Drosophila melanogaster: one gene and its partners. The protein of the gene in region 2 interacts with the protein of the main gene of each other region in a pairwise test. Each region holds a gene or a part of one and is shown on either strand. Other genes may lie near its edges.

What was found. The genes of interacting proteins can lie anywhere in the genome.
Region 1: the proteins of Drep1 (region 2) and Dus1 interact in a two-hybrid assay, tested with the Drosophila melanogaster proteins (one large-scale study listed by BioGRID).
Region 3: the proteins of Drep1 (region 2) and MtnA interact in a two-hybrid assay, tested with the Drosophila melanogaster proteins (one large-scale study listed by BioGRID).

Annotation. Positions count from the first base shown.
Region 1 is NT_033779.5:267,573-275,023, reverse strand, and holds the start of Dus1 (dihydrouridine synthase 1), read left to right. Parts: upstream 1-3,279; 5' UTR 3,280-3,395; intron 3,396-3,397; exon of another isoform or gene 3,398-3,709; coding exon of another isoform or gene 3,710-4,363; intron 4,364-4,417; coding exon of another isoform or gene 4,418-5,566; intron 5,567-5,634; coding exon of another isoform or gene 5,635-5,832; exon of another isoform or gene 5,833-5,936; intron 5,937-7,451. Other genes in the region: CG17078 (uncharacterized protein), read left to right, coding at 1-77; CG11555 (uncharacterized protein), read right to left, coding at 373-1,038; mbm (mushroom body miniature), read left to right, coding at 1,390-2,469, 2,518-3,057; CG3345 (uncharacterized protein), read right to left, coding at 3,710-4,363, 4,418-5,566, 5,635-5,832.
Region 2 is NT_033778.4:12,041,047-12,051,580, reverse strand, and holds Drep1 (DNA fragmentation factor-related protein 1), read right to left. Parts: upstream 6,970-10,534; 5' UTR 6,718-6,969; coding exon 6,673-6,717; intron 3,606-6,672; coding exon 3,390-3,605; intron 3,107-3,389; coding exon 2,835-3,106; intron 2,777-2,834; coding exon 2,416-2,776; coding exon of another isoform or gene 2,389-2,415; 3' UTR 1,409-2,388; downstream 1-1,408. Other genes in the region: CG30039 (uncharacterized protein), read left to right, coding at 27-449; Polr3B (RNA polymerase III subunit B), read right to left, coding at 8,998-10,534.
Region 3 is NT_033777.3:9,781,735-9,787,611, reverse strand, and holds MtnA (metallothionein A), read left to right. Parts: upstream 1-3,241; 5' UTR 3,242-3,366; coding exon 3,367-3,388; intron 3,389-3,652; coding exon 3,653-3,753; 3' UTR 3,754-4,205; downstream 4,206-5,877. Other genes in the region: CG8500 (uncharacterized protein), read right to left, coding at 755-1,027, 1,164-1,235, 1,292-1,477, 1,535-1,705; CG12947 (uncharacterized protein), read right to left, coding at 4,855-5,072, 5,132-5,326, 5,385-5,877. UniProt on the Drosophila melanogaster protein: This protein binds cations of several transition elements. It is thought to be involved in detoxification processes.

The sequences.
Region 1 (7,451 bases), on a different chromosome or scaffold from region 2:
GATCGGCCAAAAAGTCTGTGACCACCAACGGCAAGTTTAACCACCTCATCGCCAAGCTTGCCAATGTACATGGCTGAGATTTCATTTGGACGATTTTTGGCTGGAACCATGGCGCAGCGAGCGCCACTTCAATCTCCTCTTGCTCCTCCCAACGGAGGAGGAGCCGAACTCTGTTTAGTTTATTTATTTTCGCCGACCTATTCCACATGTATTTGTACCACTATTTTTAAGATTTGCATAAAGTGTGTAGTAATGTTGTGTATACATTTCTGATTTGTCACCCGACAAAGAATCTTTTATTTATTTTTTAATTGAAACTTCATGTTTTGCCAGTTGGGGTTGTGAAGTCACCTAAGGGAAAATAAGCTAAACTTATTCATTATGTGGCCCTTTCTGAAACGGATTTCTCCTATTTGGTCCCTTCTTTCGATAAGGATGTGCATTATCTCGCATTTTCTGAAAGGGATGGCTACCCTTTGCTTCTTTCGCATTTGATGATTTCACATTTCGACGTGTATGATTCGAACGTTCTAATTCGAACTTGTCCTTTGTCAGCTGTCTATATTTCAAGTCCTTTAGGGCAGATTTAAGTGTTGCATTCTTTTTCGTTAAATTGAAACCCAAAGTGAGTTGCTTTCGGAAAAAGTTCCGCTCCTTAAAAGTGAAGTTCTCAACGTCCGTGGAGAGCTGTTGTTTTCTTTCCGTGGAGGGCTTCTCATCGTTGAAGGGCTCCCATGTAGTATCCTGCGACCGGTTGGCTTCTATGACATTTCGACGGTGGTTCTTCTGACGCTGCTGCATGAACTGCCTTGCGTCCTCGCTGTCCACATCCTGGTGTCCCCGGTCCGAAGAATCCGTAATTATGTCGTTCTTCACATGCTGCCAGGGCGTCGCAGTAGCTTGTGGAACGAGCGCTGGTTTCGGTTGGACATACTTCTTTGGCTTGAACTTGGTTTTGCCCCAGTCCTTGGTGCGGCTCTGCAATTGACGTTCATGGCGATCATTATCTTCTGTTTTCTTCGGATTGGTAGAATTCATAGCGTTGTTATTTGTGGTTAAACTGAATATCGTCCATCTGACCATCTGAGGTGCCAGTTTGAGAAACTATCGAATCTAGCTATATATGTTAAATCTTATAAAAACCTTCCATTGGTCACTTCACATTTTAGTCCATTACATGTATTATGTCACATATTGTCACAGTATTATATATATATATTATATTATATATAAGGTATTCAAACTTAATATACATATAATGAATAGCAGTTTTGGCTTGAAAGAAGCCACTTCGGCAGTCCCACCAACAATCGGATCTTATCGATAACCCCAATCGGCTCAACACGTGCGCCGCAACTAGGCGGTTTTATAAATATTAACAATTCCATAATGCACAACAGTGGAGGACAATCCGGCTGGAACCTTTCAGGAGAGGAAAGAAAACCGTTTTCGAATTACGGCCGCAACAATCAGCAGAGGCGCAGCAGTGGAGGCGGGGGAAGAGGCAGCCACAGCCAAAATCGCGCCGCCAATGGAAACTGGCCAGACGCTGGATCGGAAGGTGGGCAGAATGGAAACGCGTTTAACAAGTTCAGAGATCCCCAACAGGAGCTGGATAATCATCAGCCAAACAAGAGAGGGGGCCGAAGAAATAGAGGCGGTGGCGGAGGAGGTGGTGGTTGGGGTGGCAGGCGAGGGAACCGCGGCAGAGATTCCAATAGGCGTGGTGGCCGTAACAACTCGTGGCAACCTAAGGATCAGCATGTTAGTCCTGGCCAAAGTAACATGCTGTACTTCGATAATGTGGGGGACTTTACCGAAGACCCACCTCTGCCTCGATCCTCGCCTGCTCCCTCCTCTCTCAGACAGGAGAGCCTGCCACCTGTTACTTTCGCTGCGGACTTGACGCCACCACCACCTGTATCTGTTGCACCACCTGATGTGGCTGTTACGCCAGAAGAACCTACTGTGCCGCTAATCAATATCAAGAAGGAGAAAGAAATGGAGCACAAGTCAAAAATAAAGCAATTTGTCAAAGCGGAGCCCAAATCTCCTAAAAAGAAGAAGGTTAACTCCTCTAGGTCGTCATCTACTTCGGGAGAGGAGTCTGAACCCGAACCAGGGGAAATGGTAGTCAACACTAAGGCAGTGGTGGTGCCGTCCCCAAAAGCGAAGGCCATCAAAACACCTGTAGCATCAACTCCGAAACCAAAGGCTGTAAAACCAGTTTCGTCCTCCGACTCCTCAACTTCGGACAGCGACACCGATGATGAACAGAGTCATCCGCCGGCAAAGAGTAAAAAGATGGAAAAGAACACCGAGGAGGATGTTGTCTGCATGGGCTCTCAGGAGCGCCAGTTTACCATTACCGATGAGGAGGAAAGCACCGAACCTGAAGACGACAAGAAGGCCAGAAAGCAAAAAAACAAGGGTAAAACCGTGGATGTGTGTGGCATATGCGACAAGAAGGTAAATATTTTAAAAGAATGTTACCCAATTTAAAAAAATCTCTTCCAGGGCCACACCTCCTTCCAGTGTCAGATGATATGTCGTAATTGCTCCGGTAGTTATCATGGTCTCAAAAACTGTCCAAACCCGCCCAATCTAAATATTGCCATCCAGTCGTTTGTGGAGTTTGCCATGCAGCAAATGACTGCCTTTCATTGCGAGCAAGGATTTGGATTTCCTGCTGGCACAGTCACAGCTCCAGTTTCAGCAAAACCCAAAAAGGACAAAAAGGCGTCAATAAAAAAGATAAAGAAGTCTTCACAGAAAAGGATGAAGGTGGAGCCGAAAGATCATGACGAAGAAGATGACGAGGAAGATGACGACGAAGATGAAGATGACAGCAGCGAGAGCGATGACTCGGAGTCCAGCGAAGAGCCTCACCCAGCTCCTGTGTCCAAACAGAAGCGGAAACGAGGCACCAAAGCCTCCGTATCGGCCGCAGCCAGTCTACCTCCTCAAGTGTTTCCATTTCCCCTTCTAGGCGCCCCGGGCGCCCCTTTTAACTCCATGATGTATTCTTATAGAGCTCCGTTTAATTTTTCTAAATAGTTATAGCGTGAGTTAGTTGTAAAGGAACGTGAAAGATAAATACATTTTCAATACCAATGGATTTAGTTCTTTCATTTTAATATTTACGGAATTTAGGAATTACGCCTCTGTTGTTTAAAACGAGAATGAAGTTGAATTAATTTTTGTACAATACATACCGGGGAATAATATCGATAACCAGGGCAGACCTATTTATCGAAATGTATCAGCCGACGCAGCCCTGGTTTTGTGTTTTGCCAGCTGTTGCTTCCACGCTTTTGAATAAAAAATCAAATTAATAGTGTTTACTAGGAAAAACGTATGAAACTCAGTGAAAAAACTTTGCAAAAAACTTTTGGGTAAGTGTATTTACCTAAATTTATTGGTTTTCTACGATTAAATCTCAAGAGCTTTGAGTTTTTAACTAAAGGATCCAGGTGTCTGATTTTTAAAGTTATACTCAACTTATTTATAAGGAAGCATTTTAAACGATAAAAGAAAACATAGTACATAAATTTAGGACATCATATTGAAAATGAATATTCCTGGACTCTGAAGTATGTAAGTGCCTCGGAAACGAAATATACAAGTAATTTTTAGGGCTACTTCCCGCCAGAGCTAAGGCATCCTGCTTTAAGATCAATTTTCCTTGCCCTGTCTGCTTGACAGGATCCTAGGGTATGCAGAGAGCCAGGGTCTCGCGTTCCTGCTCGGTGCCGCAGGACACTGGGTGATTCTGGCCCCGGGGATCGATGCCTGGCTTGAGCATCGTCTGCTGCAGCTCCCAGATGATTTCACACGACTGGACGCTCACGGCCAGCTTAAGCACCGACTGATAGTTGAGCGGATTAACCGCATAGCTGAGGATACCCCTGGCAATCTGCTCGAACAAATAGTTCCTGTCAAGCAGAAGGAGCTCCTCTCGTACCTCCATCATACGGTTTTCAAAGTGGCACTGAATCGCTGCAAATACCAGCTTGTCCAGACCCACCAATAGATCCCGCTTAAACTTCACCAGGTAGTGCTCTATGAACACGATCTGGTTGCGATTTAGATGCGGCAGGCGCACCTTGTCCTGTATTACCTGTTCGCCGATCTGGCTGACAACCAGAGAGGCTAATGATCCCGCCGGAGTGGCCCGACGTTCGCTGCACGGGCGGACGTCCACGAACGGATGAATCTCGTAGCTGCCCACGCCAATGGTGCTGGCTACACCGCTAAATGATACATGGGAGGCGCGCGAGTGGTTTTTCGGCTGTTTGGCCATCGACGGAGGCACTTCCATGGCTTTGTGGTCTCTGGCGAATCCAATGATCTGATAAGCTTTCTGCAGGCGGAATGAATTAGTGGTATGTCAAGAGGGACTGCTATTAACACTTACGTAGTGCACATATTTCTTTGCATCGCAGACAAAATCCTTAATGCGCGAGATCAGCACCTGCAAGGCACACTCATCCTCGCTGAGATCGTCGTTTAAACCAGAAATTATGTAGTCCAGTATATATTGTGCCGCCTTATAGATGGGGTCGTCTGGTGCGAAGCTGAGAGCGGTCTGACCCTCCATGGCAATGGCTGCATTCAAGGCGTAACAAAGATCACTGTCTAACAATCCCTCAAAGGTGGCCTGATACTCATCGCAGAATGATGGCTTGCGTTCCTGAAGTGTCGACTTCTTCTTCTTGCGGCGCTTTCTTTTGGGCTGACGAGCAGTGATGGCCTTTTGAGCTCTTTCCTTAATCTCGTCCTGAATCCGTTGCCACTTTTCTCTGTAATGAGCCTTGTGCCTGTCTATAAACGCCTCTCGCTCTTTTTCCACCTCCTGCAGGAGGTATTCGATCCTACGCTGATTAGCAATTCGCTCATCAAGTCGCTTCCTCCACGACTGAATCTGGTGCTCAGTGTTCTTTACCAGCCGTTGTTTCCTCAGGATTCGCATGTTTTTGTTGAACCGATCCTTTTTGAACTGGAAGAGCTTCTTCTGTTTGATCAATAGCTTTCTCATCAAATCCTGGCACATGCTTATGTGGGCAGCTACACGCATGTTTGTCAGCATCTTGCGGTGCTCCAGCAACATATTCTGCATGGTGGCCAGGTTCTCTAAGCGCTTAAACTTCTCATATGTGATATTCAGCAGATGGACCTTTCTTTCGTGGCGTTCCTGCTCCTGTAGTTTCTTTCTGGCAAGAACCTCCTCAGTGCACTGGTGACGGGCTGCGAGATTCTGGTGATCCTTTTTTGTGATGGACTCCGCGTTGGCGATCAGCATTCGATCATATTGCTCCGACTCGCGCCGCTTGTATGCCTGCAAAATGTAGTACAACTGCGATTTGTGCAGCTCCTGGCGATGCTGATTGAAGTCCTTCAGATTGCATATTACATCGTTGTCCTGCGTTATCTCACCGTTTTCCCTCAACCGCTTCAGATTACGCTCATTGGAGTAGAACGTCTTTAGGTTGGAGTCGTGTAGCGGATTGTACTCCGGGATGTGTTCGGTAACGGAACACTCAAACTCCTGTTTACCGCTCTTGAACTGGTGGATATGTATGAATGATGATGATAAAGTAAGGTTCTAGCTGATTTTCTACTGGTAGCACTTACGTCCTGTCCGATCTTGTTCTTGGAGAATATGACCTGATTGCCGGGACATTTGAGCATTGGCAGCTTGCAATTAAGAGGGATCAGCTCCCATCCGGGTAGACTGTTGATGGGTAGTCCAGTCTTGTAGGAGATCATCTTTAGCAGGGCCGGGTTTCCGGACACCTTATTTCGCCGCGGCAGCGACAAAATATCGATCATCTTGTCGCTCTAAACTTACAGTAGCCTAAATTATTTGTGCTTAACATTTACTCTCTGAGCGTTCCAAGAAAACTAATTTCGAACAGTGCCTTATGAAAATGTAGTAGCCCCGCCTACTTTAACAATATTCTATACTTTTTCCCTGCCGATTGTATATTGACTTTAGTCAATAGTTTGCAATATAAAATATATATATTCTTAAGCAGTCTCAACAACCGTTTTATAGCTATCTGCATGAATCTGTGGTCCCATCCTAAGAGGCCGAATCGGGATCGAAGCTGTCATTACCCTGGCTCCAGCAGATTCCAGGGCGTTAGTTCGGCTTACATAAATCCTCGGTTGACTATCCTCCTCAATATTTCGCTGTCTCTATCCGGGCTTATGTTCCACCCGCTTTTTCCGACCGCTGACCCAGTTTGGCGTCCGTGGATGATTCTAGATGCGGGCATCTCGGGCATAAATATTTACCAATCGTTCGGTCCGGCGCCAACATGTCTGCGTAGGGCTTTCCTTGGAAAAGAACACCCACTCTCACTAGCCGTCTTCCATGTAAATAAAATCACATCAAGTGCTGAAATGTACTTGCTGCAGCACGTGCTCCAAATATTCTCTCGAGTGTACTTTCCATTTCATCTAACACCTAGGACACCCCTCTTACTTTCCGACCCCGCTGCCGATGGAATAAATAAAAAATGATGGTGGCATCCGAAAACAGGCAAACTTATGCTGGAAAATGAAAGGTGCGTGCCAATCGCTAGCGGTCGTCTGTGTTCCTATTTCCATTTAGCGTTTCAAAATAGTTACTTCCTCCTGTGATATGGGTCCCTAGGGATGGCTGCGTGAGTCATTCGGCTAAATGGCTAGTTAGTTTTGGGAATCAAAAGTAGTGCTTTAACTTTTATTGAGACAACGTTTATAGACATGTGGTACACACAATGATAATATAATAAGTGGCAGGCTGTTTACCACATTCGTTGAATGCAACTAAGCAGACAGTTATTAACAATATGTCTTGGCCACATATCAATTCAGGCCTTTGACTTGTAACGTAAATTCTGATATAGAATTTTAAGTAAATTGAGTGTGGGTGCCCTTTTTCTTAAAACCCCCTTGGTGGGCCAATGAAAATCCTCTCCCGCTAATAATTTTCCTATGACTTACAATACCGGCAAAACCGCACACAGCTGTCCTCAACTCTCCCTTTCACCCTCCTCTGGTTGCTTGCCACTATAGATTGAAAAGCGTCGTCGTTCAACTGGTAGGCTTTTTGTTTTCAATCAGACGAAGCTTTCGGTTCGGTGTTTGAGAGCGACTTCGAACCACGGGAGAGAAATTGAGCTTAGAACACTAGCTTACATAGTTCACTGTTTTTTAAACCCATCTGTTTCTGTTTGACAACAGAAAAAAGCAACTCCGTTGCTTTAGCAATGCGAAATGGTCGTCAAACCTGGTCGAACATAAGGGAGCACTGAAAAAAATTCTACTTGAAAATGTAAATGTAATATATTATATAAAACTTATACGAATTTATGGAATTCAGCATTATATATAAAGAAGTACGTTTCACTACAGTTTCCACTATCAGTTTTGCACTTAATGTCGTTATTTTTCTGAGTGCT
Region 2 (10,534 bases):
CACACGAATTTCACGCAATTGAATAGCTTCCAAGTGTAGAAACACAAGCCGCAACTGATGAAGGAGGTCCTCCATTACCGCAATCACCTGAAAACGTTGAGGAAAATGTGAAAGAAACCAAAGAGGTTCAAGAGTCCCAGCGCTGCAGTAGTTCGAGGATTTTAAATCGGGAACATAAATATAAGCAGCCAGAATGCAAAGCATCGAGATCAGTGAAAAAAAGGAAAAGGGCAAGGATCCATAAACGGAAAAGCACTCTTTACGGAGATCGCGCTGTGAACTGTACCAAGTGCGGAACTGTCACGATCTATTTTCCGGCCCGCACCAAGTTTTTCTCATGTGCCGAGATAGATGGTCGATTGTTCAAGGTGAAACGGATCTCGTCCAGAAAAGTACTTGGTGGTGCTTACCGCAAGCAACCTATGAAGCGTTCGAAATTACCGTGTTAAAAATTGTTGTCTACGTTTAGGAAACAAACGTACAAAATTTACTTGAAATGAAGTCTTAAGATTTTTACTTGAACGTAATTTTCTAACTAATTGTATAACTTTTTATCTAAATTATTCGTACTAGACTTGTTAAATAAAATGCCTGACTACTGAATAATTTTCAATAAGAGTCTTTTTTTATTCAAAGGACCAAAATCGGTTCGCTCGAAGCTCAGATTGCTTTCGATTAAGTTTCCATTTCCTCTTCCGGCACTTCCTCTTAATCTGCAGGACAACATCAAAAGAATTACAAACTCAAGTGTGTGTGACAATTTCTTGGCCAGGCAGCCCACCGTAAATGCCATCATACACATCAAAAGCAGTCAAAGCGATTTTCAGTTACATTTTTAATATTTTTGGGCACTTTTCGCCCCATGATTTTTCTTTTTTCCCCTGCCAGCAGGATGAAAATCGTCGAGGGCGCAAATTAAAAGAGCAGCCAAGGAATGGGAACCGAAAAAGGGATGTGCTGTGTTAGTAGGGGATATTGAGTATGCAAAGGCCACAGGACGCTGGATTCAATTCATCAAAGCCAGGGCCACGCCCACAAAGAGACCCTTGCTGTGGGGCGCTGTCGTCACGAATTTGGGTCACCCGGGAGCTTTGAACTGTGTTAGTAGGCCATCGCAATCAGCTAGCCAGGACCTGCAAACGTCATGGTGCAGTGACGTCACGAAGGAAGTTGAATGGCAAAAGAGAATGGCGTCGAGTAATGCAATTATATGGCAGCAGCAGGTGTAGGACTCCCACTCTCTTGCTCTCTCGAACTGGAAAAAAGGGAAATGGAAGAAGCGGTGAAGGAAGGGGAAACTCTCTTTTGCCAGCGGAAGAGCAGGATGCAGTCCATACGCCCTGTTGCACACGCTTTGTGCGTTGCGCATACGCCCCGTTTGCCAGTTATGCTAGTTCAATCAACTTTAGTTTAATAATCATTTATTTATTACTTGGTTTCGTGTATATAGTTTGCCTCGGGGTTTTCACTTGCATTTACTGTATGCTTTTCACTATATTTAATAATTGTTCACTGTTTGCATTCGGTTTTAGATTTCGTTTACGTTTACGGTTTCCCTTATTGCTTATTCGAATTGTAGACAGTTACAGTTACCAACTTTGATTGGGCAATTGCAATTTGCGTTATTGTGTTCCATTATTGTTTAATTAGCTAACAATGTTTGCGCTGTCGCTTAAATTCATTTGGCTATGGATTCGGGGGCGGGAAGACGGGGATTCTGGGAGGACAGGGCAGCAGCGCTGGAGGCTTCCATCCGATCTTTCCCGAACCGCTCAAACCACGAAAAAACCTATTACACATAAATTCAGTCAGTCTCAATTGGCCTTTAACGAATGACATTCACAATGGCATTGGTCTAAAAACAATATTTGATGTGCGTTTCCACTCTACCTACTATTCGTAACACAATTTACACGGTAAGCAAATCAACAGTTTCCTGGGACAACTCCATCCAATTGGGGTTCGCTCTGGTTGTGGGATTCTACCTCAAGTATAATACTTATTTCGCTAACCTTTGATTATTATTCATCTAGTACGGCTTGGTGTGACTCGTGTATATGCGGTTAAATACGATTCCGCTGACTGTGATTGCTAAAAGACTTTTCAAATCTGCGCGGGCCTCTTGTTCTCTTGAGCCTCGTGACCCGGTGTTTAAATCTAGTACGTGTATTGTTCGTTAACTTTCATTTGCTCTTAGATACTATGAAGCATTTTCAATGACTTGATTTCGTCTCCGTTTCGTTTTTGCTGATTTCGCAGTGCCTAATTACATGCTACAAATACGATTTATGTTAACCCAATGTTGCAGGACTGATGTCTTCGGTATATCCTTTTGGCTCTTGATTTTGATTGGCGCACCCAGTTGCGTTAGTTTTCCGCCGGCAGACTTTACCTAAGACTGCCCAAAATGGGCAGTCAGATGTCGCCGTTGGCATTTGGATTTCTATTTGGATTGGCATTGGCCTCATTGGCAGCCGCTTCGGCAGCGGAGGATCCCATCGCTCCACTGGCTGTGGCGCAAGTGGTGGTGGCCTCGCCCACCGTAATTGTTATCGTCGTGTTTTGATTGTCGCACTGCACCACCTCGATGGTGCGGGTGTTGCTCGTCGTTGTGGTGCTCATCTGTCCACTCTCCGCCTCGTTCAACTGCCGTCCAATCTCCCGGTCAATGGCCTCCGCATCCTCGGGATAACGTTCCGAGCAGAAAATGGCACCAGCTTTCAATAGCTTCAGCAGATTTAAACGATCCTCGGCATTCCGCTTGGCACACAATGGCCTAAAGTCATGAAATCATGCTACAATTAAGTGGTATATGGGAAAGGAATTAAACTCACCTTCCCGCATCCTTGAGCTGCTCCATAAACTCCTTTCCCGTGATGTCCACCAACGAGTTGGGATCCATGTTGGAGAGTGAGTCCAGATCGGCATCGTTCATCACGGACACGTTGCAGAGGTTGTTCTGCAGCTGGCCCACCAACTGGCGGATGCGAGCCGACTCCGAGTTGTTGGCATCGGTGGTGTCGCCCTCGCCTCCTCCGTTCAGCTCTCCGTTTCCAGTTCCTGCCTCGTTGCCATGTGGAGTGGTTATCGTCACGTAGTGAGTGGGCTATAAACAGAGTGCAGATAGCATTTAATTTAATCTTCCTGGCTTTGGTCCCATGCTCATGGAGCTCTTTCATGGCATTCAAGAAATAATGCAATTAGTCATTATGGCAGATAAAAGGAGGGACACATAAAATGAGCTATCCAATTAAGCGGTGTTCACTTTGAGAAATGAAAATTACACAATCGCAAAACGAATTTATTGAGGTGATTTAAATAAAAAAGGTGCTGATATAATTATTTTTAAGTGCCTGTTTTCCTTTTCCTTTTATTTAAGGGCTACTCACATCGATCCAATGTTCTCCGGGAAAGACGGCCACCAGTTCCGTATTCTCGTCGAGGGTGCGAAAGTACTCCTCATCATCGATCTCCGTGCCGTCGGAGTCCAGGTGGATGGTGGGCAGGTGGTCGCACTTCTCGAACTTCTCCGCCACCTTGCTGCGGATCTCCTCCAGACTGGAGGCGCAGACAGCCTTCTTAATGTTGCGTGTTACGTCCTTGACCTGGCCATAAAAACGCAGAAGGACAGTGCCGGGAAAAGGGAATAATAAACCATTACACGTTTGCAATTACGGAGACAGTAGCAGTTACACATGGCCCCGCTCATCAAATGAATAATAAATTAATGTCAGATGGGAAACAACTGAGGTCCTATAAAATATTCACATCGTCGGCACCCAAAATAAGAAAACGGAAAAACATCGAAATGGGAAAAGTTGTAAATTTTCCTTTAGCTGCACCCTTTTTCTTGAGACAACAACGTGAACGGAATGGAGAAACTATGGAAACTTTCCGCCTGATTTATTCATTATCCTCCCGCTTGCACTTAATTATTCAGTCTGTTTCTCTTTTCAACGCAAACTTTACCCTGTTTTTATAGTTATTTAATTAGGCAATCTTTGAAAATTCCATTAAACAAAGAGAAAAGATAAATAGTAGCGCAAGTTGCTAAATAATAAATACACAACCACATTTCGACGCTGATTGTTTTCCATTCCCCGAAAAATCGCAATGAATAAATGAACGCAATATTTGCGACCACGTCATGTCCTGCTGTCAAATGTCCATTTGCTCTAATTGAGATTTATGGACGGCTTTTTCCCGGTGGGGGATGTCACCACCTTAAAGTGCCTCCCACAGCCCGACGACTTTGTGCATATTTCAGTTGCGAATGCCGAGTTCCATGAGCTCCTCTACTTTTGCTCGAGATCTCGAACGCAGTTTGACATGCACTCTAGCAGCTGCGGTGCAAATATTTGTCGTTTATCTCCCACTCCCCGATTCCCTGGCGTATCCTTTTAAATTTTCTTTTTATTTGACAAGTTATGCATGTCAGCATTCTTCATGCTGCATGCTCCTTCGCGAATGCCATAGGTTAGTGCTGTTCGCCGGTTGCAAGGACGAAGGACGCAAGCCTTTGGCTCTATTAAACTTGCATGCGATGTTAAATGATGCCTCAGCACTAAGGTTAAACGAAACATAAATTAGACCCGTCCAGATGGAGGCTCAAGGAGGCGCAACTTTAAGGGAGCAAGCGGCACGAATGCATTCCACCCAGAATTTATAGCCCCGAAACGTCGGACAGCGTGCAACTCCTTGAGGTCCTTCATGAATATTTGAGAGCACCGTGACTAAATGAAATTGTACTCGAGTTTGCATTTCGAACATTTCATTTTACTCGTGCGCCTAGCTGCTCTATCATCCCAATTCCATTTGCTCAGATAGCGGAGGAGGTCGTCCCTAAATTATCTTATAAATACTTAAAGCCACATAACTTTTGTGCCGCGAAAGCTCCAAATATTAATCATATCATGAATGCGGCGTGTGGGGCTAGAACTTTGTAACAATGAAAACTTTGCCCAACTACTGGCGCATTTGACAAGTGGGAGTCGCGGCAGCATCGAAAACAAAAGCATAGTTTTTGTTCGGAAACTTGTCAAAAGTTTTAGTCGATCGCATTAGTTGATTTTTCAAGTGGCGTCGATTTTTCAAGCGGTCGCAATTCAATTAGCAGTTTATCTAATTACCCGCAAAATTATACAAAGCTTATACAAATCAGAAACAAGATTTATTCGGAAAGTAAACATGTTTCAAAAGTGTTTCAAGTTGTTTCTTGAATGGAAATGCTATTAGGTTATATCATTAAGAGCAAATTTTTGGCACATCGTGGTAAGTAAAACTTTATTTTTTAATATTTAAATATAAGAATAATATTTAAATATTGAAATGAGCAAACACAAATGTTACCTACTTGCTACTGTTTAAGATACAAATTTCCAAACTAGCATCACTACAAGTTCAGGCTAATGTATGTGAAAGTCTAGATGAAATCAGTTAAGTGTTTTTCTAGAAGACCAGTTTATACACAAAAGTGTATGCAAAACGACTTGGGCAAATTGGTAGAGCAGCAGCGAGTTGAGGGCTTATAAATCTCAACTAACTCGAGCTGCTCAGCCATCAGGACCCGAGGGTCCTGGTCCACACATACGTACGTAGATGAACGTGCAACGACCTCCGGCGTCTGGCTCCGTTTTAGGAGCAGCCGAAGGAGACGTGCCAGGAACTCTATCATCTGCATCCAAGATGCGGGCAGAATCCACAAGTCGCAGGACATTTTAATATTTGATGGGCGTAGGCCGCAGATTTTCGAGTCGCTGGGGAAATTAGGCGACAACTTTAAATTGCTTTTGAACTATGCCGCGGCATTATGTAGATTGTTTAATAAATTATTAACAAAATGCCTGAGGCGGGTCGTGGGCGTGGCTGTTGGCTAATTACAGCGACATGTCGGGATGAAAAGTTTTCCCTTTTTAATGGCATTTTCATGGCTGTCATGGTATTTGACAGCTTTTAAGCCGATTTGCGTTTGGTGGTTTTTGAATTAAATATTTTAATAAGGAGCGGCATTTTAATGGATAAAGTGGGGGAGGGAATTCCTGGATGTTATCTCCAGTCATGTTTTACGAAAGTTGTTTTCTGTGTTTCACAGACAATTTAAATAGCTTTGTGGTTTATTGGTTTCCTTTGAGTTGTCAGCTGCATGTACTTCCAGTGGTTTTCTGCAACCTTAAGCACGTTTTTTACATCCCCATAATACTTTAAACAGCTTTCTGCTGTTTAAGCGGCAGATAAACAAATTAAACAGGAAACAATGGCCCAGCAGTCAAGTAAAACAAATGCTAAAGGCAAACAATTCCCAATACTCGAATCAAAAGGCAAATGCAAAGCTAGACAAACATGTAAAAAAAAGGACAAAGAGAAAGAAAGCAACTAAATAGTGTTTTTGAATTTGCAAAGTCAAATTTCAGGCAGTTAATGCTTATTACTGAGCTTTCGGCACTCTCTTAGCTTGAGCTTTTGGCTCTCTTGAGTTCTGAAGTTCAACCCAGTTTCCATAAGAATCCAAAAAAAAAGGAAAAAAAGTAGCGAACGCAGCACGCGGCCAACAACAACAAAGGCGAAAACAACAACGCCCAAAAATGGACATGCCAGGAAAATAATGCATGCACTTAAAATGCAATTGTTCGTCTGCGGCCTTTATTTCCATTTACAATTACAGGGGGAACTCACTTTGAAAGGCTTTTTGGAGTCGCCCGAGTTCGCTGCAGTCTCCATGGCTTTGTTTGCTCCAACTAAATTACTTATTCACTATGCACTTTATTTCCAGGCTTAATTGCTCCACATTAAATGACTTTTCTATAGATTTGATTACTTTTCGCTTGCTTCTTGCACTTGCACTCGGCGTCCGAACAAACAAACTTGGAATTTCCTTCCACAAGCTGCACTTCAAATGGGAATTAACAATATTTTCTCGGCTCCGCAGCGGAGCTTTCGTTGCGATGAGCACCGGTTTTGAAATGAGCGCGTTTTGCTCAAAAGCACTGCCTTTTATACGCAGAGAAAGGGCTTCTAACAGATGTTGAGTTCGAACTGCGAGTGCTCGCTTTTAAATGAATGTTAACTGATAGGTTCAAATAATATTTGTTTTATGTCCTATTGGCCATGTTTCTTTTTAATCATGATAAGTAAACATATTTTTGAAGCCTAACACTTTTTTTTTTTATATTTTTTTTTTTATAAATTATTCCCTGTAGATTTTGGTTATTTAATTAATTAATATTGTATCAATTTTTTGTAAAATAGGTAATAATGTGCTTCTAAAAGAAAACACTAAACAGATTAGAATTTTAAATATATTGAAACATAAAGCTTACAAAGAGAAAACAAACATAGTCAAAAACACGTTCTCTCTCGCTGAATATGTTAACATTTGGCTGTGGCCTAGTCCCTAGAAAACACAAAGAGTTTGCTGGAACAATCCTGGCTGAAAAGTTAAGGTGATTCCAGCAATCTAATCTCTATTTCCATCGGAAGGTGCTTTCGGATTCAATTAGTCCATTGGGAGGGGTTGCGCATTATCAGCCCAATGATATCCGGTGTTGTCAATTCGAAATCCCCTCGCCCGCTTGGAACCCGGCCAAAAGAGCAGTTGGACTACGCTTAACTTTCTACACAAGTGGCCAACACCCATTTAAATCTATATACATCTATTGCCATGCACACATCAACGAACCGTCCAGATAAGAAGAGCAAAAAGCAAACTTTTGACAAATGGCCAAAATACATGAAAGGAAAGCCAAAGCCGGAAGGTGGCCCCAGATTGGGTTCTCATCAGTTTGTGCACGGCGAAAAATAAAGATTCTGTTATGATACTAAAAACTAATAAAAACTATAACTTATTGCATACTTATCAGCGCCTAATTGAGCAAATGGATTCCATAAAGGATAAAGGTATGTAGGTATAAATAGGAATGAGTAGTTTTCTTTTAGTCATACGAATATCAACTAACTTTATATAATTCTCAAAAGTTTTTCCACGTATAAAACGGTACTGAATAGCCCGGAAAAGAGGTGGGCATGCAAGTATGGGGGAGATCAGAGATGGGGCAGCCTTAAATTGTCATCCTAGTGCGCACCATTGGTTCCTCGGATGCTGATGCTGCTTCTGCTGCTGGCAGTTTGCCCCGTTTGCTGTCATTGCACTGCACATAGTAACTTCTACGTGTCCTGCGGAGGAGAAGCAGCAGTGGGTGGTAGCTGTGACTATTTTAAGCGCAGGTCACTCGAAAGGACGCACAAGGACATTGGCTTGTGTGGGTGGCTGTGTCGCCTGCAGTTCGCAGGTCACGTGCATGCACCGCGGTGCATTGACCACGGACACGTTGACACATCGGCCGGAATCTGGGTTGAGCTCCACCTCGAAGCCAGGTGACAGGTAATTGCCTCACGGGCAATCAGGCAATAGGCAATATCGAGGGAAAACAATAAATCAACGCCTGGCGATATTGGTTTTACTAAGAAGCATCAAGCCGCTCGAGAATGTTTAGTTTAACTGAGCCAAAAAACAAAATACACATAAGATAGAGGATTATAAGGACAAAGAGCAAACAAAGAAACAGAATAACAAAAAACATTTCATCTTAACAACTTAATCTTTTGTCCAGACACAGACGTTTTAAATTCGGCCAAAAGGGCAGACACAACTAATTATCCTTTGCGCAATAAAAAAAAAGGATAACATAAGCGATTTAACACGGCTCAGTCCTTTTCAGTAACAGCTTGCGTCTGCCTGTTAACGAACAGAAAGCTGATATGCAAAAGGACCTCGTTAAAATTCAAGAGGACTTTCTTTCGCTGACTTCGTTTGAACCTCTTCATTTTGACATTTGCAGCTCGCGGTCATGGAAACTTAATGAATGCGTAGGATTTTTGCCCTTGCCAGAGTTCACACACCATTCGTTTTTACAAAAATATTGGAAAACCTAAGCTAGTTTCCATCATTAACCATTATTATTATATAACAATTATTTTATTCGGTTTCAGGCCATTGCATCGTTAATAGTTTTCCAAAATCATTTTCGGCACCACATTCATGCTGGTCAACTCCTGGAAGAGCAGTTTGCATGCATACGGCATGGATATCTTAGAGACATTGGCCGACGACTGGCAGAAATGACACCAGGAGCAGTAGGCCATCCTGCCGCAAGTCCGGCAAACATCCACCTCAAAGGCATCCGATGAGATCATCAGACGCTCCATGATCAGCATACTAGCTCCGTAAGAAATGAGACAATCCCGTTCCATTTCGCCCAGACGAAGGCCACCCTCACGACTCCTGCCCTGCGTCGGCTGACGGGTGAGCACCGCCTTGGGTCCCCGGGCACGGGCATGCATCTTATCCTGCACCATATGCTTCAGTTTTTGGTAGTACACGGGTCCCGAGTAGATGTAGGCCTCCAGTGGTGTTCCTGTGATGCCGGAGTAGAAAAAGTCCTTGCCCACGTAGTTGAAACCATGGCGCTCCAGTTCCGCCTGAATGTCTTCCACCTTGGAGCCCCCGAACGCAGTTCCATAGTGGAACTTGCCCTCCAGGAGACCAGCCTTCCCGCCGAGCAGCTCTAACGTTTTACCCACTGTCATACGGGAGGGGAATCCGTGTGGGTTCATTATCATATCCGGGCAGATGCCGAAGTCATTAAAGGGCATATCCTCCTGTTCAACAATCAACCCAGTCACGCCTTTTTGTCCGTGCCGAGAGCTGAACTTGTCCCCGATCTCGGGGATACGTGTCTGGCGCAGCAGGATCTTGATGAGAAAGTCTTCCTCGGCATTGGCGGAAACCATAACGCGTTCGATGTAACTGGGCTCGGGACCCTTATAGCTAATGGGTACTGCGGTGTAGGGAACCTGTGCAGACTGACCCTGCAGCGGATTCATCGATGTTACCGCGGGCATTTCCTTGTTAATCATGATCTGTTTGTTTTGAACCTGCTCGCCTGGAGCCACAATTCCGTCAGTGTCCAGAACGTCGTGCTTGAAGATAACCTTGTTCGTCAGCGCATCTTTCATGGGACCCATGATTCTGTCGAAGGTTTGATTCGCATACCGTTTCACAGTGCACTTTGAGTTTTTGTACACCAGACAGCGTCCATATCCCCGATCTATCGACGCCTTGTTTAAGATCAGCGCATCTTCGATGTCGTAGCCAGAGTAACTCATAACTGCCACAGTGGCATTCTGACCAGCAGGCAATTTGTCAAAGTTGGTAAGCTCGATAGTCTTGGATTTCACCATAGGAGCATGGGGATACACCAGATTATACATCAGCGAGTCAATCCTGTTCTTCTGGTTATAGCCAATCATTCCCATCGCCTGCTTACCCATAGCACACTGATAGGTGTTCCTGGGACTCTGATTGTGATGAGGATAGGGCACCAATCCAGCACAAACTCCCAGCAAAGTGAAGGGTTCGATTTCCAAGTGTGTAGTCCGGTCCTCTATTTGATCCTCGTTCCAGGCGATAAACGAATCGTTCTCCTCGTTCACATCTAAATACTCGATTAGTCCGTCCAAGAGAAAGTCGTCGAACTTA
Region 3 (5,877 bases), on a different chromosome or scaffold from region 2:
GCGGCCACTTCCGTTTCCGGTTGCCTCGCGATGCTCTCTATGTGGCGATCACGGAGAAGTCTTACGTTGATGGATCCATGTAAATATTTTGTTATCATATCGTAGTAGATACAGATTCTATGTCTTTAAGTAGGTACTTTGGCTTTCATTAGAGATATTAGTGTATAGCTTCGTTCGATTTCGTTTCGATATCTGGTTATGGAATGGCTGATGGATCATGCAGTATGTATGTAAGTATGTAAACATTTGATATGTATGCCGTTACGTTTCAGATGCGATTATGTGCAAACTTAGGGTTAGTTTCCGTGGTGTGTTTGGATTAGTATATATGTATATATGTATGCAGTACGTGGTATCGTGTCTCTGTGCGACTAGAAAGATCTGATCGGCTCGAATAGAATATATAACCTATGCAAAATATACTCGTAATCGTAATTGCAATCGTGGTGCGACTTATCCAGTCAGTTCCTAAATACAAGTGTCTCGTTATGCATGTAACTCTATATGTGGATAAAGTGGGGATTGTGTGTGGTATGTGGTATGGTGTAAGTGGTGTGTGCGGTGCGTGGTGTGGTGTGGTGTGGCGTGGCCCGTGTGGGTGGCTACCTAAGCCAGCAACCCCCCACCCAAGGGTGCTGCCCCAAGGCGAGTATTTGTCTGTCACCGTCGTCTCCGTTCACTTCAGCTCGACGCAATGTGACCCGGGTCACATGGCCATGCCATCTGGCCATCTGGCTCTTTGGCCATCCGATGCTTACATAACGCGACACTTCTCCTTGGCCCCGCCGCTGGCGCTGGCCCCCGCATCGCCGTTCTCCGGTATCGAGCCGTTCGTGTCCTTGGACTTCTTCTCCTTCTTCTGCTTCTTCTGCTTCTTGGTGTCCAGTTGCAGGGAGACGGTGCGCGTCTTCTCCATGTTGAGCAGCTCCTGAAACAGCTCGGTCACATTGTGGTTCGTCTTGGCCGACGTCTCCATGAACGATATGCTCCAGGTGGTCGCCTGGGCCTGACCCTCCGCTTGGGAGACCTGTGGATGGCACATTTGGATTAGAGGTTTTCTTAAAGAGATGATTTTTCTGTTTAAAATCCCCCTTGAAGATTGTAACTTAGATCTTAGATTAAGCATGTATGTATATGACGGATCAGATGGAACATCCTCTAACCTCTCGCAACTCGGCGGTCTCATCACACTTGTTGCCCACCAACATTACGGGTATGTTGGGAATGTCGGCGCCCTGTGGACACACAACGTATTAGTACATGAGAAATGATTGTCAGGCAGTGGACCAACCTTCAGCTCCTTGATAAGCGCCCAGATGGGTCGCAGCTCCTCCAGACTCTGCTTGGAGCACACCGAGTAGACCAGGATGAAGGCGTGCCCCTTCGAGATGGACAGCCTCTGCATAGCCGGGAATTGATGCGATCCCGTGGTGTCCGTGATTTGCAGCGTGCAGATGTTCTTGTTGCAGCTTATGACCTGTGCGAAGACCAGCGGATTATGTGAGTAATCTCTAGCACCAGGCGTCCCACCCACCTGTCTGTACGTATCCTCGATTGTTGGGATGTAGCTTTCGCGGAACGTGCCCTTTATGAAGCGCAGCACCAGTGAGCTCTTGCCCACGCCGCCGGCTCCAAAAACCACCACGCGGTAATCGTTGCTCTGCTCCGGTGCAGCGCGCGTCACCTGATTCTTCTGCTCCGTCATCCCGGTTACCGATACGGATTCGAGTGGGTCGAACGCGGTCGCGTATATCAAACTCGGAGTGGAAATCGGAATAGAGAGAAGCAGGAGCTGAAGCTTGTTGGCTTGCTGTCGGGCGCTGGTGGAATGTTCTACTTGGGCGCCATGCTTTCGTTTATCTGCAACAATTAAGAGCAAATCAGCTTGGCCACAACGCCCACGCACGCACAACCTTTCCGGTTCGCCAGTTGGTGGATGTGGGTGGTAGGGACGTGATGGGCGTGGGCGTGGGTGGCACTACCACTTTAGGGTCCCGCAACAAAAACAAAATGCGAAAGAAAGTTAACTTCCGAAAGCCGATGGTGATATACACTAGTAGGCATGTTAACACACTTTATTAGTTGAATTGGTTTTAAAATGTATATTCCTTTACACTAAAAAACTCTAAGAACCTTTTAAATTGATAATGAGTTGATTATATTATATATGATTCTATTATATAAACCCGCATAACTCCTTGGTTGACTTACAACTTCCTTATCAAAGTTGATAGAACTCCTTTTTAATAGTATATTTAATAACGGCAAACAATGTGTGTGAGAGTATCCCGCTAATTTTAGACATGTGGCAAGGAAGGGTATTGATTTTTCGCTCCACTGGCACTGATCGGCACCAGCCTCTCCTCATCATTATCGCCACGATTATGATTGCCCATGACCGGGTGCGGTATAAATAGGCCTGCTTTGAAGACAAGTGTCCCATTCGGAACGGTTTTCTATCCCATCCGCCCCCAAACACACACACACACACACAATACACACTAGCCGTAACTGCTCACTTCCGCTTGATTGTCCTGGTGGACCCGTGTGACACCTTTGGCCCGCCCCCTTCAACCGACTCGCCTTGCGATTTTCCGACGTTTTGTTTTCCCGCACACTCGTTGTTTTGTATGTGTTTTTTTTTCCACCTCGTACACCTCACGCGCTTTGCTCTTGGATTTTCCTCGCTTTATTTTGGCTTGGATTTATCGATTTTATCTGCACTGCACTTGCCACCCACACGCGAGAATCGAGGGAAAAGCCAGTAATGGCCACCGCATCCATATACCCGTTAATTGGGATGGCCCCAAAGGATCTGTGGGAGTCCCAACTATTGCGTAGCAGTATTTACTTGCATTTCGTTGCACTGGAATTCGTTGCAGGACAGGATGTGGTGCCCGATGTGACTAGCTCTTTGCTGCAGGCCGTCCTATCCTCTGGTTCCGATAAGAGACCCAGAACTCCGGCCCCCCACCGCCCACCGCCACCCCCATACATATGTGGTACGCAAGTAAGAGTGCCTGCGCATGCCCCATGTGCCCCACCAAGAGCTTTGCATCCCATACAAGTCCCCAAAGTGGAGAACCGAACCAATTCTTCGCGGGCAGAACAAAAGCTTCTGCACACGTCTCCACTCGAATTTGGAGCCGGCCGGCGTGTGCAAAAGAGGTGAATCGAACGAAAGACCCGTGTGTAAAGCCGCGTTTCCAAAATGTATAAAACCGAGAGCATCTGGCCAATGTGCATCAGTTGTGGTCAGCAGCAAAATCAAGTGAATCATCTCAGTGCAACTAAAGGCCTAAATAGCCCATACCTACCTTTTTTGTAAACAAGTGAACAAGTTCGAGGAAATACAACTCAATCAAGATGCCTTGCCCATGCGGAAGCGGTAAGTTCGCAGTCTGGTGTGATCCTTTAGGATATCACAGATCTTTCAGAGAAATGGTATTATACTAGTATAAAAATTCAATGGTGATTCAATAGTATAAAAATTCAAGCTGAAACTATCTGCAAAGTGAAATCTCTGAGTTCGTCTCTCTAAGAAAAGAAGTTCTTCAACTGCGTTTTATAAAATGGAACACTAATGTTATATGGCTTATGGATTACAGGATGTACCAGCATGTACTAATTTTTAAATTCTACTTCTTTCCAGGATGCAAATGCGCCAGCCAGGCCACCAAGGGATCCTGCAACTGCGGATCTGACTGCAAGTGCGGCGGCGACAAGAAATCCGCCTGCGGCTGCTCCGAGTGAGCTTTCCCCCAAAAAAGATCTGGAGTAGAGGCGCTGCATCTTGTCTCTCTACACACCCTGCAATAAATGTCCAATTAAAGTAATTGATGCCTAACTGCGTCTTTTCGGGTTGCATAATCAATTGGTCTGCGGCATTCTAGGTTAGATTCGCTTTTATTGGAGGTAGCTTCTAGCTACGTGGTCGGCAATATGCGTCGTGGAAATGGGATGGTCAAGTGTTTTCCACAATGTGCATATACATATGTACATAACACTAAAGTCAGTTGAGCAATATGGTAATCTGAGATGCCTCACTTCTGAAGCGACTGAGGGATTGAGTTTCAAAGCACAGCGGCTTGAACTCATGACTTGTAGATAAAAATACAGTTGCGGGCGTTAGAATATAGCCGCTATCGAATGGATAATATTAAAGAATACTAGCTTTAGAAATAATAAAAATATATTACCCTATCAAATTTAAAACGATTTTAGGCATAACAACGAAATGGGTAATGAAAGTTCATATTTAAATCGGCTTCCATTATTTTATAGGTGATTCATAGAAATATATGATTGTAGACTTATTATTGCTCAGTCTGTTTTGTGAAATGCCTCGTTTATAGCGCAAAAGTGCCATATAGTTTTAGATGTAATATGATCGCGCAATTAACATGAAAGTGTAAGAACCCGGCATATAAACGATATACCAACGAAATAAGTCAAGAACAAGAACCCCACGGCAGTCGGGTGAAGTGACCTAGGAGGCGTAGGGTTACGGGAGACCTCCACCTCAGACCTCCAGTGGAAAAGCCGCAGATGGAGTTTATGGTTCGTATACATACATATATACTTTATTTACTTTGCTAGCCTACGAATGCAGCTTAGGTCTAATACTAGGCTAGGTGAACAATACTTAATGGAGAATTACGAATGGATGGGGTGCGCAGTATACAAAGGTGCATACATATGTATGTCTATGAATGGTATGGGTGTGGGCATATCTTCTTTTTGGTTATCAGCGTGGCCAAACAAACCCGGGCGAGATTTCACGGCGGTTTCGAAATGGTTCTGTCGAAGGTGCTCGACGCACGTTGAAAAATAGTGGGAAATTCACGGTTCGCCCTACTTGATAACGATATTCTGTGCCAGTCGCTTCACGAAGTCCACGTTGAGAAAGTTGGCCATCAGTGTGAGCACGGACTTCTTGGGCGGCCGGCAGTGGCGCAGTCCCGCCTCCTGGCAGCACACATTCGGAAAGCAATCCAAGGTGGAGGTGCACGCCTTGGGATGAAGGTCAAAGATGGGCGGCGGCGGGGCTGTGCACTCCAGGTACTCTGTAACTGGAAAAGCGCAAGGCTTCGATTGATTTCGGTTATCATACGGAAAACTTTTAACTTACGATAGTCGAAGGATCGCTTCACTGGCACTGGAGCTGTTTCCAACTCCGGCTGCGAGGTGCGGCAGTATCTCCTACGCCCATCCGGGCAACAGACCCTTGGCCAGCAGTCCATGTCTGTGGAGCACTCCTGGACGTCCCACCAGAGCTCGGCGAGCGGTCTACTCGGGCACTTGCGAGGTATCAAGCCCAGAATGGCTAGCAAGAGCAATAAATTGAATAATATCTATAGCAGCTAAGGATTAAACCCACTTACGAGCATGTGGAGTCTCCTCTAGCGGCTTTGGAACGCCAGAGACACAGCTGCTTGCTCCAAAGATATCACAGCACAGCTCATCCCGTTGCCACACGGCACAGTCTCGATCCGCCTTGCAGATCTTGGGGAATAGCTGGAACCTCACCTCGTTCTCCCGCGGACAATCGAACCTCAAGCGCAGCTCGGCAGCCGACCTCTTGCCCTTCTCCGTTTCCCTATCCCTGTTCTTATCCTGGTTGTCGCGTGGGAAGTTCAAGGTGGGCAGTGCAATGCGAAAGGGTCCATCTGTAGTGGGTTTTTGTGTGCTAGTTGTTGTTGCGCTTCGACTAGTTGTACTCGTTCTCTGATCCATCGGTTTCCTAGTGGTCTTGGCCACTTTTCGTTGGCCGGACTTTTCGTCCTTGGGACTAAACTTTTTCGGCGGATGGGCCTGCTTGGTGGGCGGACGCACTGCCACCAGACTCTGCTGGCCGAAACTCCAGAAGTTCCGATT